Linked DNA regions of Arabidopsis thaliana. The protein of the gene in region 3 purifies or fractionates together with the protein of the main gene of each other region. This does not show direct contact. Each region holds a gene or a part of one and is shown on either strand. Other genes may lie near its edges.

Region 1 (7,580 bases), 470 kb from region 3:
ACATATAATCCACAACATATGCATATCATTTCCCAAAACAATACAAGAAACCTGAAATCCAAAAAAGAAAAACCCAAAATCTTCGCTTCTTCATCTTCTTTTTACGTTTATATGGTGAGAAATTCTATGAAGGCTGAGTACGATATAGATCATCTTCCTCATCAAACCTTTTATGGTGATTATTCAAAAACTTTGGTTCCCATGAACAAGAACTCCCAAATAATAACCAAGATCAAGCCTAAGATCCGTATCATCCATATATTTGCTCCCGAGATCATCAACACCGATGTCAAGAACTTCCGCACACTCGTCCAAAGTCTAACCGGGAAACCGGAGATCACCAAAACCGGTTCTAAGAAAAAGATAACCAACACAAATTTTCCTGCGCCACCGGGTTTGCCTCAAGATTCCGGCCAAGAACATACGGCTGAACTGGACAACAGAATAATAGGGAGCCACGTGGTGAAGGAAGAATGGGGATCAAGTTCAAACACAAATACTTACTTTGATTTTGACGGTTTGATCGATCTTGATGAAGACGACAACATATTCTCAAGTCGATGGTTTGATCTTCAACAACAATAATTAGTTTGGTCACACCTTACCCTAATATGTAGGGTTTCTACTAATCGTAAGTCCTGTTGGTTTTGATGATGATTTGATCATTTATTCGATATGGAGCATAACAAGACATGGGTCAAGACAAGACCAAGGTTGAGACGATGATCATCTATATAGGTAGGAACATACATAACTTGTATATATGTACAAATGTTTGGATTTTTTGGGCTTGGGTGCCCTTTGATTTAATTTGTTAGACTGACTTAATTTACCAAGAAAGAGTGTAGTGATGAGTTTGTAGACTGATTTTGCCAAGAAAAAGTAAGTTTGTGTTTTGATCTCCGATCATGTGAAAACTCTACTTAAAAATGGTGTAACGTTGTACTCACGCGTGCGTGTGCAAGTTTTATATATAGAAAAGCGAGAATGATATTGTGATTGAATTTTTTAGATTGTTCATTTTTTTTCGTCAAATTATTTTGTTTGTTAATTCATATATAAGTCATGTTACTTACAACAAATTGTTTGATAAAACAAAAATGAATTCCATTAAACTGAATTAACGAAATACTATAATGATAAATGATTCTTACATGACTCTAAAAGAGTTTCGATTTGAATATATAAATGAATAAAGTTCTGTTTTATTGGCGATGTTCTTGATATATACCTTCAAAACTTTATGGCTAAATTACATTTTAACTTCTCAAAACGTTAGATTATGAAAGGTGGACTCACATTTCATAAACATTAAAATGATATGGTAATATGATTATAATGAGTTGTAATGGATATATGTCATATTTTTCCAATCTCATTCATTGAAATATCAGTTTATTTTTTGGATGACATAACGATCAATAGTGTCATATAATATGATATCCAATGTTTTAATATTAACTAGCTATAGCTATATCCATCATTGTTAATAGTTGTGTTACATCATTAAATAGTATTTCAAAAGAATATAAAAATTTCTGATAACTAATGGAGAATGAAGAATATCAAACCGCCCATTCGACCAAGAAATTATAATAACGAAGTTTATAACTTTTTTTTTCAATTGTGAAATGTCATTTTTACTTTATTTATTTCCAACAAAATAAAATTATGTTTTATCTAAACCCTTGGACTTTACCAAGAAGCTACTTTTTTATTTAGCAACAGCAAAAGCTACATACCATTTGTTCTTTATTTATTAATGACCGTTTTTTTAGGCATTAGAATCGTTACGGCTGCTTCGAATCTTGCGTCTCACGGACCGACGGAACTAACCAATCTCAACCGAACCCGAACATAACCTGTTCGTTTGGTTTTCTAAATGGTAATCAATTGGTTCATTATACCGGTTTGGTAAGAAGAATCCGTGTGTTTGGTTTACATATGTTGTAATTTGACGCTTGTTCATCACGTTGCAGATATATCTCAACATCTCTCAATTTTTCTCTCTACGTTGAAGAAACTTTCGAATTTCCCGTTAGTTCTTCTCCACGCTTTCTCTTTCCCTTTATCTCTTATCTGGTTAAGCCAATCTTGATTGTTTGGATTCGTAACCGATCAGTGTTGTGAGGTTTGAAAGAATGGTGTTTTTTCGCAGCGTATCAGCCATTTCAAGACTACGGTCTCGAGCAGTGAGTAGATTTAGCTTTCATCCTTTTTGTGTTTTGTTTGATGTGATACAATTTGATGATCAGATCTAATATAAGAAGCACAGGTGCAACAATCCTCACTTAGTAACTCCGTCAGATGGCTCCACTCTTCTGAATTGGTACTTTCTTAGGTTTTCATGTTCTCGTGATCATGCGGTTCAGTTTGAGAACCAAAAATTTGGAATTTTACCTTCTAGGTTTTGTGTTGATGTTGCTTAAAATGATGGTAATGCAGGACTTGAAGTCGCAGATGCAAGAGATCATTCCAGAACAACAGGTTTAGTTTCTACTTCGTTGTGATTGAGATTGTTTCTAATTTTAGGGCAGATTTCATGTAGAGATCAAGCTCTTCTCTCTGTTTTAGTTGATGTCATTTCTCATACACAAACACAACTTTCAACTTTCAGGACCGTTTGAAGAAACTGAAATCAGAACAAGGAAAGGTTCCAGTGGGGAACATCACCGTTGATATGGTACGGATTCTAATGATATTTGTGATTACACAAAGGCTTTATCTTTTAAACATACTCGTATATATAGTTTTACATGTGGTATTTGTGAAGGTACTTGGTGGAATGAGAGGGATGACTGGATTACTCTGGGAAACCTCATTGCTTGATGCAGATGAGGTATGGTTATAATTTTGATCACATAGATAATTTTCAGGTCAGATCTTGAATTAGAATTATATAACATATGATATTATCTTTTGTATCAGGGAATACGGTTTAGAGGCATGTCGATTCCTGAATGTCAGAAAATATTACCTTCAGCTGAGTCTGGAGAAGAGCCCTTGCCTGAGAGTCTTCTGTGGCTTCTATTAACTGGAAAGGTGTGATAATCTTAAAACATTTTATACATACAATAAGTTTCAACTTTATATATGAATGATCTAAAGTATAGTTTTCCCTCCTTTCGGTATAGGTGCCAACTAAAGAGCAAGCTAATGCTTTGTCAACAGAGTTGGCTCATCGTGCGGCTGTGCCAGGTTTGTAGTTCACCTCTAGGCTCTGTTTGTTTATGACCTCAGTTTCATGACTCATCAAAACTTAGCAAAATACAAGCTGATGATAATTATAAACTGGATATTATGATGTTGCAAATATAACAACTCTCCATTGCAGATTATATATACAAAGCTATAGATGCTTTGCCTTCAACAGCTCATCCAATGACTCAATTTGCTAGTGGTGTTATGGCCCTTCAGGTGGATTGCTCTGTTATGTACTATTTTTTTTTTCTATGCATTCTCTTAGAATTTGTTTATTTTCAGGAGCATCTTATCTTGTTGATTGTTATTCAGGTTCAAAGTGAGTTTCAAAAGGCGTATGAGCAGGGTGATATTTCTAAGTCAAAGTATAAACTTTCAATAGTTCTATACTTTGTTTCTTGATTGGCTTATAGTAGTAGGCATCATAGAAACTGAGGTTTCTTGTCAGGTACTGGGAACCAACCTTCGAAGATGCCCTAAACTTGATTGCTCGTGTTCCTGTTGTAGCTTCATACGTTTATCGGAGGTTAAATTTTAGGATCTTTTCCAATGCTTTTAGCTTCCTGGACTAGTTAATTTTCTTAGATTTTCCTTTCTTCAGAGTGTTATTTTTCAATGTCCATTCTAATTCACATTGCAGGATGTACAAGGATGGTAGCATCATTCCATTAGATGATTCTTTGGATTATGGTGCAAATTTTTCACACATGCTGGGATTTGATAGTCCTCAGATGAAAGAGCTCATGAGGCTTTATGTCACTATCCACAGGTTAGTCCTGGTTCTCTTCGTTTCAACATGTCTCATTAATTAGAATACATAAGCTAAAGTTTTCTTGTATATAATGATGATCTTCCTTTATTTTACCAACTCTTACCAAATTTCTATAGCATGATCAAGGTTTTTTTTTCCCTTGTCTACTGGTTTCTGTTTTAGTGATCATGAAGGTGGAAATGTTAGTGCTCACGCTGGTCACCTGGTATGTATTTGCCACATGATCTTGATGCATGATAATGTTTTGAACTTATAGACATTTCTGATGGTTCTGTTTTTGGCTAATGATGTTTCTTCACTTAGGTTGGGAGTGCACTTTCAGATCCATATCTTTCATTTGCTGCTGCATTGAATGGTTTAGCTGGGCCACTCCATGGTTTGGCTAATCAGGTATTTATATCCTTAATGAGTCTTATATTGTTCGAATCTACAAGTGTATATAACTTGAACTCTAAGATTGACTCTTAATTATAAGCTTAAACTTGGAATCTTACTCTGTTTTTTTTCGTTGTCTTGTTGTAGGAAGTTTTGCTGTGGATCAAATTAGTTGTTGAGGAATGTGGAGAAAGTATATCAAAGGAACAGCTAAAAGATTATGTCTGGAAAACGTTAAACAGTGGCAAGGTTGACAAAATTATGCTCTGCTTTGCCTTTTGAAACTATCCATATGTATTGCATGCTAATCATGACAGGCCATAACTTGAATTATTGTATAAATAATGAATAAAAGCTTCGGATTATGTTTTGATTATGGGGTTTGCCTGTGAATGTTGTCAGGAAACTTAAATAAACATTTGTCTTGCAGGTTGTTCCAGGATATGGCCATGGTGTTTTGCGTAAAACGGATCCAAGATATATATGCCAAAGAGAGTTTGCCTTGAAGCATCTACCTGATGATCCTCTTTTTCAGCTGGTAACTTTTTTTCCCCCTCAAATCTTTGGTCATGCTTTAAAATTTTACTGGCTCACAAATTATGCAAGTCTATAGGTCTCAAAACTTTATGAAGTGGTGCCTCCTATTCTAACCGAGCTGGGAAAGGTACTACTTATACTCATTCATTTCATGTGCTACCAGATTTTCTGATTTTCTCTGGTTTTATGAATCTTGAAATTGCTGTATCAGGTCAAGAACCCGTGGCCTAACGTTGATGCTCATAGCGGAGTGCTTCTGAACTACTATGGTCTAACCGAAGCAAGGTAGGAACTACTTGTGTATCGAGGCTTTGACCTTGTTTTGCTGAATCTTGGTTATTATAGAGTGACATTCCTTTCAAATATAGATACTACACGGTGCTTTTTGGCGTCTCAAGAAGTCTTGGAATCTGCTCGCAGGTACATACATACATTCATGCCATCGACAATTCGATTTTAGTACGTATCGCCATATCCTTCACAATAAAGTCAGACTAATCTTTTATTCCTTTTCTGTTTCAGCTGATATGGGACAGGGCACTTGGACTGCCACTTGAGAGACCAAAGAGTGTAAACATGGACTGGCTCGATAACTTCACGCGCTTGAACCGCTAAGTTAATCCCTGACTGATGTTGGTCAAGGTTCTCTCTTTTATCACTTCAGCCTTCTCTTCCATTTGATTGGGTAGCTTTTAGAGATAAAAAAAAAACGATTTTTCGTCGAAATTTTGTTCTACAGAGTTTTCATTTTGGTTCTTCTGCAAAAACAATAAAGTCAAACAAGTAAAGAAACAGTCTTTCTCAGATTGAGACACCATATTATTGTTCCTCAACTTTGATAGACAAATGATGACCATTGATATGTATTGATTAGTCTTTGGTGAATTATCGCATAATAAACAATACTCATGCAACCAGTCCCGCTCAAACAGAGTGTTTGAAGTGAACAGAAGCAGAGTCAAGAAATTCAAAGCCTCGGGATCAAACAGAAGCTTCCTCCTATCTTAAGAAGCTCCCTACGAAGCTTTATGATGATTCTACAAAACACATTTGCTATCTTCAGTGAACAGTAAGATGCAACGTGTTCTCTTCTAAACCTTCAGATATTTGGCTAAGTATAAGACTCTTCGTAATCACAAAAAGCCAGAAATGCGAAATTGATTTTGAGTCTTCTTCCTCACAAGTTTTCTCTAACTTTCAGAGGAGTCGCTGGATCCTGTTACCGAGAATTATTAGAAACCGAGAGCAGAGGTTTCTAGCTAGGACAGGAAATATATTATTAGAACATATCCTAGTCTTCCTTGTCATGGCCAGTCCAGTGGTGCAAGAGAAACATACAATTCCAACTCAAGTATGTGATGGACTTGACTTGCTTAAGCCGTACGGCATCCTCGGAAAACCAAAACCATGTCGGAAAAAGGAACTTGACTTCCTTGAGGCTTACGGTTTCCTGGGCTCGAACCCAACTACCCAAGTCAAGTGACAGAGAGTCTTGACATAGATTAGGCACCTCCTTACTAAAGCCAGACAACTATACAAGATTATTGGTTCAAATATTAGTCAATCCTTTCGCGTTTTCTGGCTTGACCCGTCTCGTCATGCAAGGGTTGGTCACGAGTTTCTTATTCTTCTAAAGTTTACCAAAATTAATCCCCTTTCTTTATCTTTGCGTGTGAGTGTGAATTAAAGTATTGATTTATTTAATGATGGGTTTAACTTAAAAAGTTTAAAATTGTGTCATCAAAACCCATCAAGACGTGTCTTGTAACTCTGTATCACACAAACATTCGTGTGTACTAATAAATGCAAATATTTTAGTCACACCTTTTCGTAATTATTTATTTATCATTTAAATAAGTGACAAATCTGGGTCCAATCTCCATTAGAGGCCCATTTACAACGAATTAAAGCCCATGTCTTTTTGAAGTGGATAAATTCCATGCCCAAGTTACTCACATTAACCAACATCGATATAAAAGGAACATTCTATTTCTAGTAACCCATGAGGGTCATTCCTGTAAATAGATCTGCCTTCCTTCCTCCTCTCCGTAGACGGTTGTTGCACACAAAGCGAGGTTGGTTTGACCCGAACCTACCCGACCCGTTACTATATATATAAACACAAAATGGGTAAAGCAAAGGTGAAAATCTTATACGTAGGTCTATATCATTTCCATATGAAGTGGAGATATATATATATAGCTAACGAGACCCTAAATATTTTTTTCTTTCTTATAACATATAGTTTCATTTCATATATTTAAAGGCTTCATAATACGAAACAAGGTGATAAGAAAAAAAAAAAGAAAAAAAAAAAGCAAATTAAAAATTAAATCCCTAAAAACAAACGAGCGTATTGTTATGAAGGAGGACGAAGAAGAAGAAGCAGTGATATCGAACGGCATGAACGACGACGACGATACTAACAATATTAACAACAGTTCCACTGAATTTGATAACAATCGTATCGGAGACGGAGACGATAACAGTAATCTGAATCAGATCAAACAAGTATGGGGAACGTGGGAGGAGTTGGTGTTAACATGCGCCGTTAAACGTCATGCTTTTTCCGATTGGGACTCCGTCGCTAAGGAGGTTCAGGCTCGTTCCCGGAGTTCTCTCATCGTTTCCGCCGTCAATTGCAGGCTTAAGTATCAAGATCTCAAACGTAGGTTCCAAGATTCCGTCGACGTCG
Region 2 (5,900 bases), about 18 Mb from region 3:
CTTGGCTGATATCTAGGCACACGTGACACTCTCTTTGTGGAGAATAAGACACGTGGCATGTGATTAGCGGGTGGAATACCACGTTGGGTTTATCCAGCTGAACCGCAATATTATATTGGAAAAAATGGCATCTATTATCTATCTTCATTCAACTCAAAGGCTCATGGCTTTATTAGTGGGCCGAGGCCCAAGCCTTTATAACGAGGAATTTGGTAGCCCTATAGATTTATTATCATACGACGACAAGTCTACGAGCTTCTTCTTCTCGGAATCGGAGAAGCAGGAAAATTCCGGAGGAGCAGGAAGATGTTCAAGAACACGTTTCAATCTGGGTTTCTGTCTATTTTGTACAGTCTAGGGTATATTATTTTGTTACTTTTTTCTTTTCAATATCTAATTAATTGGAATCGTTTGATGTGTTCTACTGTTCTTAAATCATGGAGGTTTTTTGTTTTGCAGAAGTAAGCCTCTTCAGATATGGGATAAAGAAGGTGAGCTTTATGATCAAAATAATCTATAATATATTTGCTAGATATAAGTAATTGAATCTAAGTTAGTGTGATTTTTTGTCAAAATCCTCTGTAAGCTGTATGAATTTAAAACCGTGAGCTTTGTCTAACAAATAATTGTTGACTTGTTCTATCTGAGCTACAATTTCTCTAGAATTTGATCAAATTAGTGTTTACCTAAGCCTGTTTATTGTTTTTTGATTAATAGTTGTGGATGGACATGTGAAGCGTTGCCATGATGATGACATTCAATCCAATGTGCTTGAAGTAGTTGGATCAAATATTCAGTCTACATACATTACATGTCCTGCTGATCTTTCCGCTACTCTTGGTATCAAACTTCCTTTTTTGGTCTTGGTGGTGAAGGATATGAAGAAATATTTCTCATTCGAGATTCAGATTCTGGATGACAAGAATGTTCGCCGGCGTTTCCGAGCTTCTAACTTTCAAGTATGTATGTCTTTCCCTTTGCTTATTCAGTCTTCACTAGTTTATCTACTGTAGTGTCGATGCTGCGTTTTAGGTTATTGGTTATTCTCTTCAAGCAATTTCTAATCAATGGCTTAGTCTGATGTCACACAATAGATTAGTAGGTAGCTTCTGGATAATGTTTAGTTTAGTATACTAACAACAGTTGGTATCAATCTCCTAATCTTTCGATAAGCTTGTAAATACAGTTGTTGTCAATACATTAGATCTGCTGCACTTTGTGTATTATGCTAAAATCCTAGGGACTAGTATTGATGTTTTGTATTGAACAATTTTTCCTAGGCTGTCACTAGAGTAAAGCCGTATATTTGCACAATGCCACTGAAGATGGACGAGGGATGGAATCAAATCCAGCTTAACTTAGCGGATCTTACTAGGAGAGCTTATGGGACTAATTATGCTGAGACATTGCGAGTTCAGATTCATGCTAACTGCCGCCTTAGGCGCATATATTTTGCTGATCGTCTCTACTCTGAAGAGGAGCTTCCTCCGGAATTCAAGCTGTATCTCCCAGTGCAGGTTTGGATTTCACTGTTTAGTTACTATCTTCTCCTTTTCTCGTTCACTTTGTTTACTTACAAAGCATGCTCTTTTTCTTATTGCAGAAAGCATGATAAGTTCATTCCGAATGCTGCTGCCGTTGTCGTGGTATACAGGAAATCTACTGTTTAAGTGTTGACTAATTCAGATAGAGCAAGAGCGTGATAGTTTTAGTGTCGCTTGTAGCATCCCATGGAACTTGGAGTTTGCCATACCTTGGGCATGCTTTAACTTTGTTGTGTTAAACTCTTCCTGTAATGGGATTATATAGTCTCTTAAGATTTTCAATGAATATTGTACATGATCTTGGGTCAATGCAGACAAGTAACATACATGCTTTTGAGTCACATGATGACACCCTTGTATTTAACTGAATTGCGGAAATAATCGTTCTAGCTAGTTGCAGAACAATGTAAGGTAATCCAAAGGGAACGCCAATTTCAATTTATTTGAGTGGAAAAATATCGTCAAGCCAAGTACACAATTACAGAATGGAGAAACTCTTGGTTTCTTTATTACATACAGTAGATTGTTTTACTCGCCAAAGACACGCTTGGCACCGTCTACGGTGTTCCTGAGAAGCATTGCCACTGTCATTGGGCCTACACCACCAGGGACCGGAGTTATGAAACCTGCAACTTTTGAAGCTTCTGCGAAATCAACATCTCCAACCAACCGGTATCCTGATTTCTTGCTCGGGTCGCTGACTGCATTAGTTCCAACATCAATTACTGCAGCCCCTGGCTTTATCCAGTTGCCCTTAATCTGAAATGTCAAAACGATAGTATATTTGAATTGTAAACTATTCACATTGATCTACAAGAGGTAGACTAAATTATCTTCTAAATGACAATGAAAATGTATGAAAATCACCATGTGGGCTTGTCCGCATGCAGCAATAACAATGTCAGCTTCCCGTATGATAGCCTCAGGATCCTTGGTGTGAGAATGTACAGTTGTGACAGTAGCATCAGCCTTGAGCAAAAGAAGTGAAACGGGCAAACCAACAATGTTACTCCGACCTACAACAACTGCTCGTTGCCCCTTTATCTTTACGCCGCTTCTAGCTAGGAGTTCCAAACATCCCTGCACACACAGAAAATCACCTCATAGTTGATACAGAAGAAAAACAGAACACTGAGATTTCTCGCTTGAAAGAGACTGAAGTCTATATGCAAAAAAAGGAGAAGTACCTTTGGGGTGCAAGGAAGGAAGAGGGGTTCTCTGCCTTTCATGGCTAGCTTACCAATATTCAAAGGATGGAAGCCATCGACATCTTTATCAATGCTGATTGCACCCAATATATGCTCCTCATTAATATGTTTCGGCAATGGGAGTTGAACTAATATGCCTGCAAATCAAACACCAAAGCTTATATAAGCACAGGAGAGCAAGGAATGTTTGCTTTATACCAAAACGAAAGACTTGCATAGACATTAAAGTTTCTATCTATCCTTAATAGTTTAGACTAATGATAACCGAGAAGACATACAAAATCAAGTATTATTTACCGCCACAACTAACCATGGACATCCGGATTTGAATTTAGTTCATGAACTTTGCTAATAAGATCAGCTTCAGAAACTTCCTCTGGTAGGCCCACGTCAAATGACTTAATCCCAACCTCAGCGCACGCTTTCCTCTTCGTATTCACATAGGTCTGTGAATCCTTTCGGCTCCCAACAATAACTACAGCTAGTCCTGGGACCTGCATGAAGGTAAAATCAGATTCGATTGAATCTCGTACATTCTTGAAACTATATAAAGGGGTCCAACTGAAGCAACTGAACAAACGCACTAAACCATTTATTACACATACTCTCGTTCCTTCTATTTTATTACAATGATATCAAACATTATAAGCTTAGCACACACTATCTGTATAAATAAGATAGTATGCCACTTGAAGTAATGCAGGCAGCTCAAAAATCCAGCGAAACAAAATAACAGTGATCTAACTAAAATGGAGCTTACATTTGACCCTGTTAAGCATTTTCAATAGAAGGTTGTGATCATAGCTGCTTAAATCTAGTCATTTTAAACCATAAAGCTAAAAGAGAGTAAATTTTCAATAGTGCTATCATCTTATAAAAGAACGGAGAATTATAAGGAGAGACATGTCAAGATTAGGACACTGATTCATAAGATGCGTTTACCTTGCCGTGTTTCTCAGATAGACCGCGAACTTCCTCGGCGATCTCTGATCTGATGGTATGAGCAATCGCCTTGCCGTCGATTATCTTCGCCGTGTGATCAGATGATGACGCCATGAGCCACTAGGAATTTGCCTCGTGTCGGAAATATCTAATTCTCTCTCTGGATCCACTCACACTCGAAGATGACGAAGAAGACTTAATCTGAATCCATCCGCGGATAGGACACTCATACTTCTGCAACCAAACGTTCTACAATGGCAAATATGTAATTTCCCGCGTGACCTAAACTAGAAACGGCATCGTATTAAGGGTGGGCCCAATCATAACTCACACGAGGCTTTGTCGCGGTCACGAAAACCCAGACGGCGTTAATGGCCCACTCCGTTTGTTTCGACCCCGCCGTGACGGCGAATCTTTCCCTCTCAGCGTTTCACGCAACAGTAAGTAAGTTTTGGCGGTAAAATTGGGTCACAGATGGGTACGTGTCGATTTAATAGTGGTTGAAAGCGCGCGAATATAATTGTATACGTATGTGTATGTATTCTCCGTGTTGTTTTTCCCGCGCGAGATATATCCTTTTTTAGGGTTTGCCGCATAATCAGACCCCATTCTAGAGAGAGAAGAGGGAAGTCAGGTGAAGATAGAGAGAGACACTGAGAGGAGGGAAAATTTGTAGGGTTTTCGGAGATCTCTGTGATTCCTCTGAATTTGTCGAATTTTTTGGAGGAGGCGTTAGAAGTCGGGCTTCTTAAAAATCAGATCTTCTGCTCAGGCTTTAATCGGCGACGTCTGGTATTGGGATCTGTGACACAAAAAGGTAAGATCTTTCTCTATTGCCTATCCTTTGATTTGAAATCTTATCCTCTAGGTGGTTTATCTGAAATTTTCTATTGATATTTCGCTATTCGATTGTAAGTTGGTGAGAGAATTCTCCAAAAACAAAAAAGAGAAAAACTTTGAATGAATATTTAAGATAACATCTGGGTAAAATTTTTCCGGAGTGGTGGGTTTTAGATTATGCCCCAATTTCTCTTCTTTTTTTCCCCCAAATTTTGTCTTTCTGCCATGTTTTGGGAAATTGGGAGTTTGTTTTCTCATGTCTGTTAGTGTGTTCTTCCGAATGGGTTGGGCATGGTTCCTATTGAATTTCAGTGTGATTAAATTAACAAATCTCTTTGCTTGAAAAGTCCCTTTTTCTTCGTCTTCAGTTAGCAGTTTAATTGGAAGTAAAATTAGCTTGATTTTGCATGTTTTCAGCTGCGTTGGAGACTATGGAAGAAGTTCAGCCTCCAGTGACCCCGCCCATTGAACCAAATGGGAAAAGAAGCGAAGCCTCTCTCTTGGACATATGCGAGGTTTACTCTTCTCTTTGCTGATCTAGTTGCATTTGTTTAGTTGAAGATACCATTTGAGTTCTCTCGGAAATTTTGAGGACTAGCTCTAATCCCTGTAGTTGATTTCTTATTGCAGAAAGTTCTGTCTCTTGATGGGAGCACTTGCGATGAAGCTTTGAAGTTGTTTACAGAAACCAAACGAATTTTGTCAGCAAGCATGTCTAACATTGGAAGTGGAACGGTGAAATACATTTTTCCTCTAACTTCTCTTTTATCAGTTAACTGTGGTTTCATTATGACTAAATCCTTTTTTCTTCTTCTTATTAGCGGGAAGAAGTAGAGAGGTTCTGGTTTGCGTTTATTCTCTATTCAGTGAAGAGGCTTAGTGTGAGAAAAGAAGCGGATGGTCTGTCAGTGTCTGGTGATAATGAGTTTAATCTATGTCAGATACTGAGGGCTCTGAAGCTAAAGTAAGTAGTGTTCAATTCTTCCTTCCTTGTCATTCTTAAATTCATTTGTAGTGACGATTTTCCTCTTTTCTGTTTATAGTATTGTGGATTTTTTTAAAGAGTTACCTCAGTTTGTGGTCAAGGCTGGATCTGTACTGGGTGAACTTTACGGCGCAGACTGGGAGAACAGACTTCAGGTTTTGACTAACATCTTTTAAATATACTTCTACTTCTATTATATCATTGTTAAATATGCTTCTATTAACTAATTTTTACTTACTAGGCAAAGGAGGTGCAGGCTAACTTTGTGCATCTTAGCCTTCTAAGCAAGTGAGTTTAGCTCCCTTCCTATTTTACATTTATCTTTGTTTTGTGTAAGAATAGTTATTGACATAGATTTCATATTTTGGACCTGCAACTTAG
Region 3 (8,132 bases):
GTCAAGAAAGAAGTCTGGAGAGAAGCAAGCTCAACTAGAACTTCAATGGCTTTCACATAAGCAACACGGCAAGCTCGGACCTGTTGACCACCTCTAGCTAAACCGGTCAAGTCATTCTTGGTCTCACCTTCAGAGAAGTGATCAAACTTAGGCAGCTTCACTCCAGCGATATTCTCTGTCCGAGAACGAACCTTCAAAGTAGCTTCTTTAACGTTCTCGAGGACAACATGTTTGACATTGTCACCAGCAACATACTTTACTTCGGTAAGAGCAAAAGACGATGTCTTCATCATATCTCCCATAGACTCCTTAGCTGTAACGATTTTCTTGAGAAGTGCCCTAAACTGAACAGTTAAAGCATCACTCTTTTTCTTGAGGAGAGCATGACCTCTTGTAGCGCCAACAAGACGAGCTTTCATAACCCCGAGCATAGTAACAGTGGGAACCACATTCAAACGCGCGTTTTGGCCAGCCATATTTCAAAACTACAGCAAATGAAAGAGATGGGATTAAACAAGGACACAAACAGACTTACTCTATTGACAGAAGCCAACAACAGAAGATGATTTTTCGATGATGCGAAACAATACTTGCATCATTGAGGAAAGAGATCAACATGGAAATCTCGTAAATTCTGGTTTACTAATTATAATTGAACAAACACGCAAAGATTCTTAAGTTTCACTAGGAAAATCTTAGGCTAATGAACCAAGCACCCAATCATTATCTCGAACGATCCATACAGAGATTCATCAGATTATCCATTTTTTGTTCCCAGATTGAATCAAAGTCTACGAATTTTCTAATTGAATCAAAGTCTACGACTTTAGGATAGATCGTTTCCCAGAAGATGAAATCTAGATCACAGAACACACCTAATCAATTGGACTCAGAATTGAGCAGTCAGGTTATATGGATACACGCCTAAATTTCCCACCAGATTCAATTGTTTCAAACCAAACTAAGAGAAGAAAAGAGTGAGATTTGGGATTGACATACCTGGGCCTCTCAAAAGGTGAATTCTTAACAAGTAAATCACTGAAATTAGATTGGAAGAAGCCAAAGAGAGAAAGAGAGATAGGAAGACAATGAAAATTGATATTAATTCAGAACTGTCGACAGGGGTAAGAAGATCGTATTCGACCTCGTCGCTGTGATCGTGGAGAAGAAAGAAATGGGCTAATTGTGTAATTAACCGTAAATATAAAGGGCTTATTTTTTACAAATAAAATAAATACGTATACAGCTCATCACGTATGGTGGGGCCTACTTTCGTGTCCTAAATCTGAGACCCATCACTTTCGTCTTTAGACGCGGTGAACTATATATCTCACGTTCTTATTTAGTGCTTAGGACAAAAACAAAACTCGGCCAAATACATTTTTTCATTTCCAAGTTTCAGGGATGAAATCTTGTTGTATAGAGTTTCCAAATGGTTGAGGAGAAAATAATCTCTCATTCAACACTATATTGTATGACATTTTTTTAAAAGGATATGATTTGGTGGTTAACTAATTATTCCGAATCAATGTGTGATATATAAAAAATCTTAGAACTAAAGCAATGTGTTATATTAACTAAAGAAGAATAAGAAGATCTTCTTTTAGAACTTTCCTCACAAAAGGCACAATATCTATCAAAAGTTATGTCTTAATTTCCTATACCAACTTAATTATTAGATGGAATTGATTATAGAACCACTATACTTAAGATATGTTTTAAATCATAAATTTTAAAATAACAGACAAACAAATGAAAAACAAATTCAATAGTATGTAGATTATTGAGTGTTTTAACTATAAGGAGAAAGAAAACAACACACATTGTTGAGAAGACCCTTTTGGTTTTCGTCATTATTGCTGCATATATGTTCAATTACCAATCTCATCTTGATTTGTTGTCTACTATCTTCTTACTGTTTCGGTTATATTTAATTTAGATTTGAACTGTTTTTATCACTTTATGATTATTGTTCAACATCATATTCTTAAAAACATGCTATAATACACAAATATTTTTATTTTATTTTGACAACTTATACATACATAGACACACACACATGTATTACTAACTCGAGGTCGGATGGGGTTTACCCAAACTATATTTTATATAAGCATATATATTCTTTATATATATTTGTATATTCGCTTGGCTTTCCGAGTCAAATTTCATATTAGTAGTATAGGAACGAGACTTGACCCAGCTAACGCCTTCTTGATGCATTCGAAATGGAAACTTGACCCAACTGATCCAAATCCGAATCACAGCTTGGTTCTTTCTCTCACTGTCTCGTAATGCCTTATCCCCGCTCCAGTATAGACCTGTGCCAAAAAAAACTTTTGATCTATTCAAAAACTGCATATATCCATTAAAAATTGTATTACTCATGAGCCAAAAAAAGAAGAAGGTTCAAGTCATTAATATATCCAAGAGTGTATGTATCTATGCATAATGTATAATCTCATGAGCAAAAAAGAAAACTTAATTACTCATTGATCTATCAAAAAGTGTCTTTATTAGCCATGAGCCAATGTTATCTAAACAAAGTCACTTATATATTAAAGGTGTATTTTACCTGTTGGGGTCTCATGATCTTTGTGTCAGGATCATCTAAAGACTCACGCCAGTGTGACAAGTATCCAGCGATACGTGATACTGCGGTGAATGATGATGGGATTCCCATTGCCCTGTGTTTTGGCCCATTTCAGTTACCAACAAAAAAGATTCAAATAAAGAAAGAACTCAATGGTTACAACAACTCATTAGTCAGAATTTGTTAGATAACTAATCAATGTCTTACCTATTGATTAATCCAGAGTAGAAATCAACATTTGGGTACAGCTTTCTCTTAACAAAATATTCATCAGAAAGTGCCGCCTTCTCTAGAGCATCTCCTACCTGAAAACATTATTTATACACCAAATATTTTCTTAAACCAAATTCATCATACATATGAAGGATTCAACAAGGAAACGTGAGCAACAAGAATACAGAGTACCTCAACCAGAGGATCCCTTCCAAGAATGGAGAACACTTCATCCGCCAGTTTCTTAACGACTTTTCCTCTGGGATCGTAGTTTTTGTAAATGCGGTGTCCAAAACCCGACAACCTCCTCTTCCTGGAATAAAAAGAGTTAACATTAATGGAATATTGACCATCACATTCTAGGTATACTCTCTAAGAATTGAGTTACTTATTCTTCACGCTTTCAATGAACTCTGGAATATTTTCAACAGTCCCAATCTCTGATAACATGTTAATCGTAGCCTCAACTGCACCACCATGAAGGGGACCATAAATGGCTCCAACACCTCCCGAAACAGCAGTATACACATCACCACCACTACATAAACAGAGGATTTATGTGCTGATTAAAAAGTATCTCATAGCAGACTCAAATGAATCTCTAACCAATGATAAGTAGTACCTAGAGGAAAGGTGCCTAGCAGCAGCAGTAGAGCAGTTCATTTCATGTTCAGCTTGCAGTATGAAGAGGATGTCCAGCACTCGAGCCAAACGAGGATTAGGCTTGTAAGACCTATCTCCCCTGTAATCAATGGAAGATGAGACTAAACAAGTGCACAGTTTTATGGCTACCATCTCCAAATCAAACAAAGAGGGACAATAACGTACATTGATTCCACCATATAGAGGAAATTCTCTGAATAAGAAAGGTTGCTCAAAGGTTGAACAGGAGGCTTGCCTGCCTTCCTCAAATAAGCAGCTGCTGCAATTGTTGGGGCCTGCAGACACGTTATATTATAATTCATAGTCCGGTTATACATTGAGGCACCAAATCACACAGACAGAACAATACCTGTCCAAGAACACGAACAATCTGTTTATCACGAACTTGTTTTGACTTGTAAACACCTAGGCCCTGCACCAAATGGGGATTTCCATGTCGGCGTGGAAATTTTCAGAAGAAAGCAGGATTATAAAAACGTAACTTACCATAAGAGACGGATTTGCATCAGGATAAAAGATGGAAAGTGCACTCATTGCAGTGACAAGAGCTCCTACTGGATGTACATCATTAGGCATGGACTGTATCATATCCTGTGAAAACATTCAGATAAATCATCTCACCTCGAAGATCTAGAGAAAGTTAGGAAAGAGTAGAAGAAACTCACCAATACTCCTTGTGGCACAGCTGAATTCTGAGAAATCGCAAACTCCCAATCAGCTAGCTGTCTTTGAGAAGGCAGATTCCCATAAACTGCATGCAAAAACAAAAAAAGCAGTAGTAAACTAGAGCACTAAGGGAGACAAAATTTTAAAGAAATACCCACACAAAAGCAAGACTATGAGCTATACAAGATGATCAAGATGATCATAATTAAGCAACAACAATGAGCTATACAAGATGATCAAGACTTACTTAGGAGATAAGTAACCTCTGTATAAGTACTTTTCTCAGCCAACTCCTCAACTGGGTATCCCCGATAACGTAGGATTCCCTCATCTCCATCGATGTAAGAAATCGAAGATCGAACAGGAGCCGTGTTTAAGTAACCAGGATCGTATAAGTTAAGCCCCTTGTCATCCTTCCCTGTCGTTATCTTCACACCAAACATGAAAATCCATTTATACACACTCACACAATATACAAAAAACAATCTATTCGTAGTACTAATGGCCACAATGAAGAAATAACTTCAGCATAAAAACTCATTATATATACCTTCTTGAGATCAACGGTTTTAACGGTACCATGCTCTGAGACTGGGACCTGATATTCATTCCCCGTACGCTCATCGACGATCTTCAAATTTCCTTTAAGCGATCCATGCGGTGCAGCGGTTATGTGAGCCGATGTGCACCATGGTTCGATCGCTGGCAACACCTGATTCGGCTCAGATACTGTCAAGTGCGCATTGAGAACGGCTAATCGAGCTCTAGCTCTCTCCGAAATCTCCATTTGTCACCTCAAAAAGATCACAATTCAAGAAAGGGAAGCGAATAAGAAACCAAGTGGCTGTTGTAGTTCAAAGTGATATATAGGCATGCATGGTTTTATAGTGGGGAAATTTGATAATTTCATTACGTAACACTTTTGTCTTAATACTTTTGTGGGTATGATTGGCGTGAATCTACAGTGTCTTCTTTGTCTTCAATCAGAGTTTTGTGGCTTTTAACCAATTTTAAGTATGTGTCTCTGCGACAGTTATGTATTGTTTTGGTTGCTTCTTACTTCTTTCTGTTAATCAGTGTCAGGTACTCCAGGGTTTGTTATTTAACGTCACTTTTCTTTTATATTTGTTCACACTTCTCACAATTGTTCTCATTTGAAATGGAAATATTATTGGCAATAATGCAAAATGATAGGAAACTTTCAGGCAAATTATAAATACCGTACAAAAAAATATGATATGATGTTCAATGAGTGGTTAGCTTATTGTTATCACTTGGAATCTGCATAACATATTCACCCTAAAAATAACATTCAGTTAATCCTAAATGATATGATTTGGTGGTTGACATTTTCCAAACCAATGTGTTAGACATGTCTTCAGAAATTAACATTAACAGGAATAAAAGCGCAATTTATCAAAAGTACATGTCGTTCCCTATAACAAGATTATTATTATTAAATCATAACATTTTAAAATAACAGACAAACAATAAGAATAGGGTTGTATTATTAAGTGTTTAAGAATAAGAGAAAGAAAACAACACATGTTGTTGAGAAGACTCTCTTGTTTTCCCAGAGGTATCCCAATGTTTTCTTCTTTATTGGTGAGTATTAGGATTGAGACTAAAGGGCAGATGATCCAGCTAAACGCCTTCTTGATGCATTCGAAATGGAAACTTGACCAAACTTATCCTTATCCGAATCACTTGATAACGTTCGTTCTCTCACTGGCTCGTAATGCCTCATCCACACTCCAGTATAGGCCTATATGCAGCCACACAATTCAGTTAGCTCAAACTATAAACCTTTTGATCTATCAAACAAGTTATGTATTTTACCTGTTGGGGTCTCATGATCCTAGTGTCAGGATCATCTAACGACTCACGCCAGTGTGACAAGTATCCAGCCATACGCGGGACTGCGAACAGGACTGTGAAGAATTCTGGTGGGAATCCCATTGCCCTGTGTTTTTCCCCCATTTCAATTACCAACACAAGGTTCAGGTAAAGAACTTAATGGTTACAGGGTCTATGTCAGATGAATCAGCAATGTCTTACCTATAGATTAATCCAGAGTAGAAATCAACATTTGGGTACAGCTTTCTCTTAACAAAATATTCATCAGACAGTGCCGCCTTCTCTAGAGCAACTGCTACCTGAAAACATCATCCGTCAAAACAAAATTTAACCCACAGTCATGTTATATAAGAATTTTTTTGACAACCAAATACTAGGAGAGATACGTGAGCACAAGGATCTACAGTACCTCGATGAGAGGATCCCTACCAACAATGGAGAACACTTCATCTGCCAGTTTTTTTATAACTTTTGCTCGGGGGTCATAGTTTTTGTAAACACGATGTCCAAAACCTGACATCTTCCTCTTTCTGAGAACATAGAAAAGGGATATAACATTACCGGCATGACTCACCACAATTCAGAGTACTTGGTGCTTGTAGTTATTAAGCATTGAGTTACCTGTTCTTCACGCCTTCAATGAAATCTGGAATATTTTCAGCAGTCCCAATCTCTGCTAACATCTTAAGCACGGCCTCGTTCGCGCCACCATGAAGTGGACCATAAAGCGCCCCAACAGCTCCAGCACATGCGGTGTACACATCAACACCACTGCAGAAACACAATACTGATTTAAACACTCAAAGAAGTCTAAATGAATATCTCTAATCAGTGATAACTGATAAGTACCTAGAGGCAAGATGCCGAGCAGCAGCAGTAGAGCAGTTCATTTCATGTTCAGCATGCAGTATGAAGAGGATGTCCAGCACTCGAGCCAAACGAGGATTAGGCTTGTAAGACCTATTGCCCCTGTAATCAATTGAAGATTAAAGAATGTATCCTGTGTTACAGACACGTTTGAAGCTTGAAACAGATTTAAACTGACTAAAGAAACACAGTTTTTCTGACTACCCTTTTAAAATGCAAGTGTTAAATCAAATAAAGACAGAAGAAAGAGGGGAAAGTACATTGAATCCAGCATATAGAGGAAATTCTCTGAATAAGAAAGGTTGGCCGAAGGAAGAACAGGAGGCCTGCCTGCCGTCCTCAAATAAGCAGCTGCTGCAATTGTTGGTGCCTGCAAACACGTTGTAAACCCTTTTTCTAGTCCCGCAACTTATACACAGATACGTTAAGGAAACAAATCATCAACAGATAGAACAATACCTTTCCGAGAATGCGAACAATCTGTTTATCACGAACTTGTTTTGACTTGTAAATGTCTTGGCCCTGCACCCAATGAAAGAAAATCGAGTTGGCATAGCCATTTTCAGAAAAAGGCATCTTGACAGTACGAAAAGAACAGGATTTCAAAACTTACACTAAGAGCAGGATTTGCATCAGGGTGAAAGATAGAAAGTGCACTCATGGCACTCACAAGAACTCCCATTGGGTGTGCATCATGAGGCATGGACTGTATGATATCCTGCAAAAACATTCAGAAATCGTCTCAGATCAAAAATCCATAGAAAATTCTTTTACTAAGCATATACACATAACTATATTCACAACGGCGAGTAAGACATAAGGTACTAATACTAGAAAGAGATCCAGTATCCTTAATAGACATGGTTTACAAGCAAGACAAACAACTTGTACACTTGACAAGAAATCATTTTCAAAATCCCTCTTTGGTTTGGATTTGCATTCTGATACAAAGTTTGGAATTTGCACTAGTATGAAAATCCAAATAACGAAAGAGTAGAAATTTCACCAATACTCCTTGTGGCACAGCTGAATGCTGAGAAACAGTGAACTCCCAATCAGCTAGCTGACTTTGAGAAGGCAGATTTCCATACACTGGAGACAAAAAAAGGGGAATTTTAACACGACACTAAGAGAGACACAATTTTCAAGACATTTTCTTTTCCACAAGTAGACGCCACAAAAGTAAAATAAGCAACAACAACAACAAGAATAAGCAACGAGATTGATAAAGACTTACTGAGGAGATAAGCAACCTCAATAAAAGTACTGCTCT

What was found. The genes of interacting proteins can lie anywhere in the genome.
Region 1: the proteins of CSY1 (region 3) and CSY5 fractionate together in Arabidopsis thaliana (co-fractionation; one large-scale study listed by BioGRID). This does not show direct contact.
Region 2: the proteins of CSY1 (region 3) and AT3G12290 fractionate together in Arabidopsis thaliana (co-fractionation; one large-scale study listed by BioGRID). This does not show direct contact.

Annotation. Positions count from the first base shown.
Region 1 is NC_003074.8:22,190,747-22,198,326, forward strand, and holds CSY5 (citrate synthase 5), read left to right. Parts: upstream 1-1,983; 5' UTR 1,984-2,141; coding exon 2,142-2,192; intron 2,193-2,275; coding exon 2,276-2,329; intron 2,330-2,445; coding exon 2,446-2,487; intron 2,488-2,617; coding exon 2,618-2,683; intron 2,684-2,773; coding exon 2,774-2,839; intron 2,840-2,928; coding exon 2,929-3,042; intron 3,043-3,134; coding exon 3,135-3,198; intron 3,199-3,334; coding exon 3,335-3,417; intron 3,418-3,513; coding exon 3,514-3,566; intron 3,567-3,649; coding exon 3,650-3,727; intron 3,728-3,841; coding exon 3,842-3,970; intron 3,971-4,135; coding exon 4,136-4,178; intron 4,179-4,276; coding exon 4,277-4,363; intron 4,364-4,495; coding exon 4,496-4,597; intron 4,598-4,778; coding exon 4,779-4,886; intron 4,887-4,961; coding exon 4,962-5,012; intron 5,013-5,096; coding exon 5,097-5,170; intron 5,171-5,253; coding exon 5,254-5,305; intron 5,306-5,407; coding exon 5,408-5,500; 3' UTR 5,501-5,701; and 1 more. Other genes in the region: AT3G60090 (VQ motif-containing protein), read left to right, coding at 112-585; AT3G60110 (DNA-binding bromodomain-containing protein), read left to right, coding at 7,247-7,580.
Region 2 is NC_003074.8:3,917,499-3,923,398, reverse strand, and holds AT3G12290 (Amino acid dehydrogenase family protein), read right to left. Parts: upstream 3,937-5,900; 5' UTR 3,809-3,936; coding exon 3,695-3,808; intron 3,247-3,694; coding exon 3,063-3,246; intron 2,890-3,062; coding exon 2,732-2,889; intron 2,625-2,731; coding exon 2,412-2,624; intron 2,304-2,411; coding exon 2,073-2,303; 3' UTR 1,880-2,072; downstream 1-1,879. Other genes in the region: BUG22 (cilia/flagella-associated protein), read left to right, coding at 307-359, 460-491, 718-959, 1,281-1,517, 1,604-1,612; RBR1 (retinoblastoma-related 1), read left to right, coding at 4,966-5,049, 5,165-5,269, 5,356-5,498, 5,578-5,674, 5,761-5,807. UniProt on the Arabidopsis thaliana protein: Catalyzes the oxidation of 5,10-methylenetetrahydrofolate to 5,10-methenyltetrahydrofolate and then the hydrolysis of 5,10-methenyltetrahydrofolate to 10-formyltetrahydrofolate.
Region 3 is NC_003074.8:21,718,805-21,726,936, forward strand, and holds CSY1 (citrate synthase 1), read right to left. Parts: upstream 4,987-8,132; 5' UTR 4,923-4,986; coding exon 4,686-4,922; intron 4,564-4,685; coding exon 4,383-4,563; intron 4,221-4,382; coding exon 4,135-4,220; intron 4,061-4,134; coding exon 3,956-4,060; intron 3,882-3,955; coding exon 3,819-3,881; intron 3,745-3,818; coding exon 3,635-3,744; intron 3,549-3,634; coding exon 3,429-3,548; intron 3,345-3,428; coding exon 3,195-3,344; intron 3,120-3,194; coding exon 2,999-3,119; intron 2,899-2,998; coding exon 2,801-2,898; intron 2,688-2,800; coding exon 2,576-2,687; intron 2,322-2,575; coding exon 2,262-2,321; 3' UTR 1,969-2,261; downstream 1-1,968. Other genes in the region: AT3G58730 (vacuolar ATP synthase subunit D (VATD) / V-ATPase D subunit / vacuolar proton pump D subunit (VATPD)), read right to left, coding at 1-476; CSY2 (citrate synthase 2), read right to left, coding at 5,760-5,900, 5,975-6,098, 6,194-6,291, 6,402-6,522, 6,614-6,763, 6,842-6,961, 7,120-7,229, 7,319-7,381 and 3 more.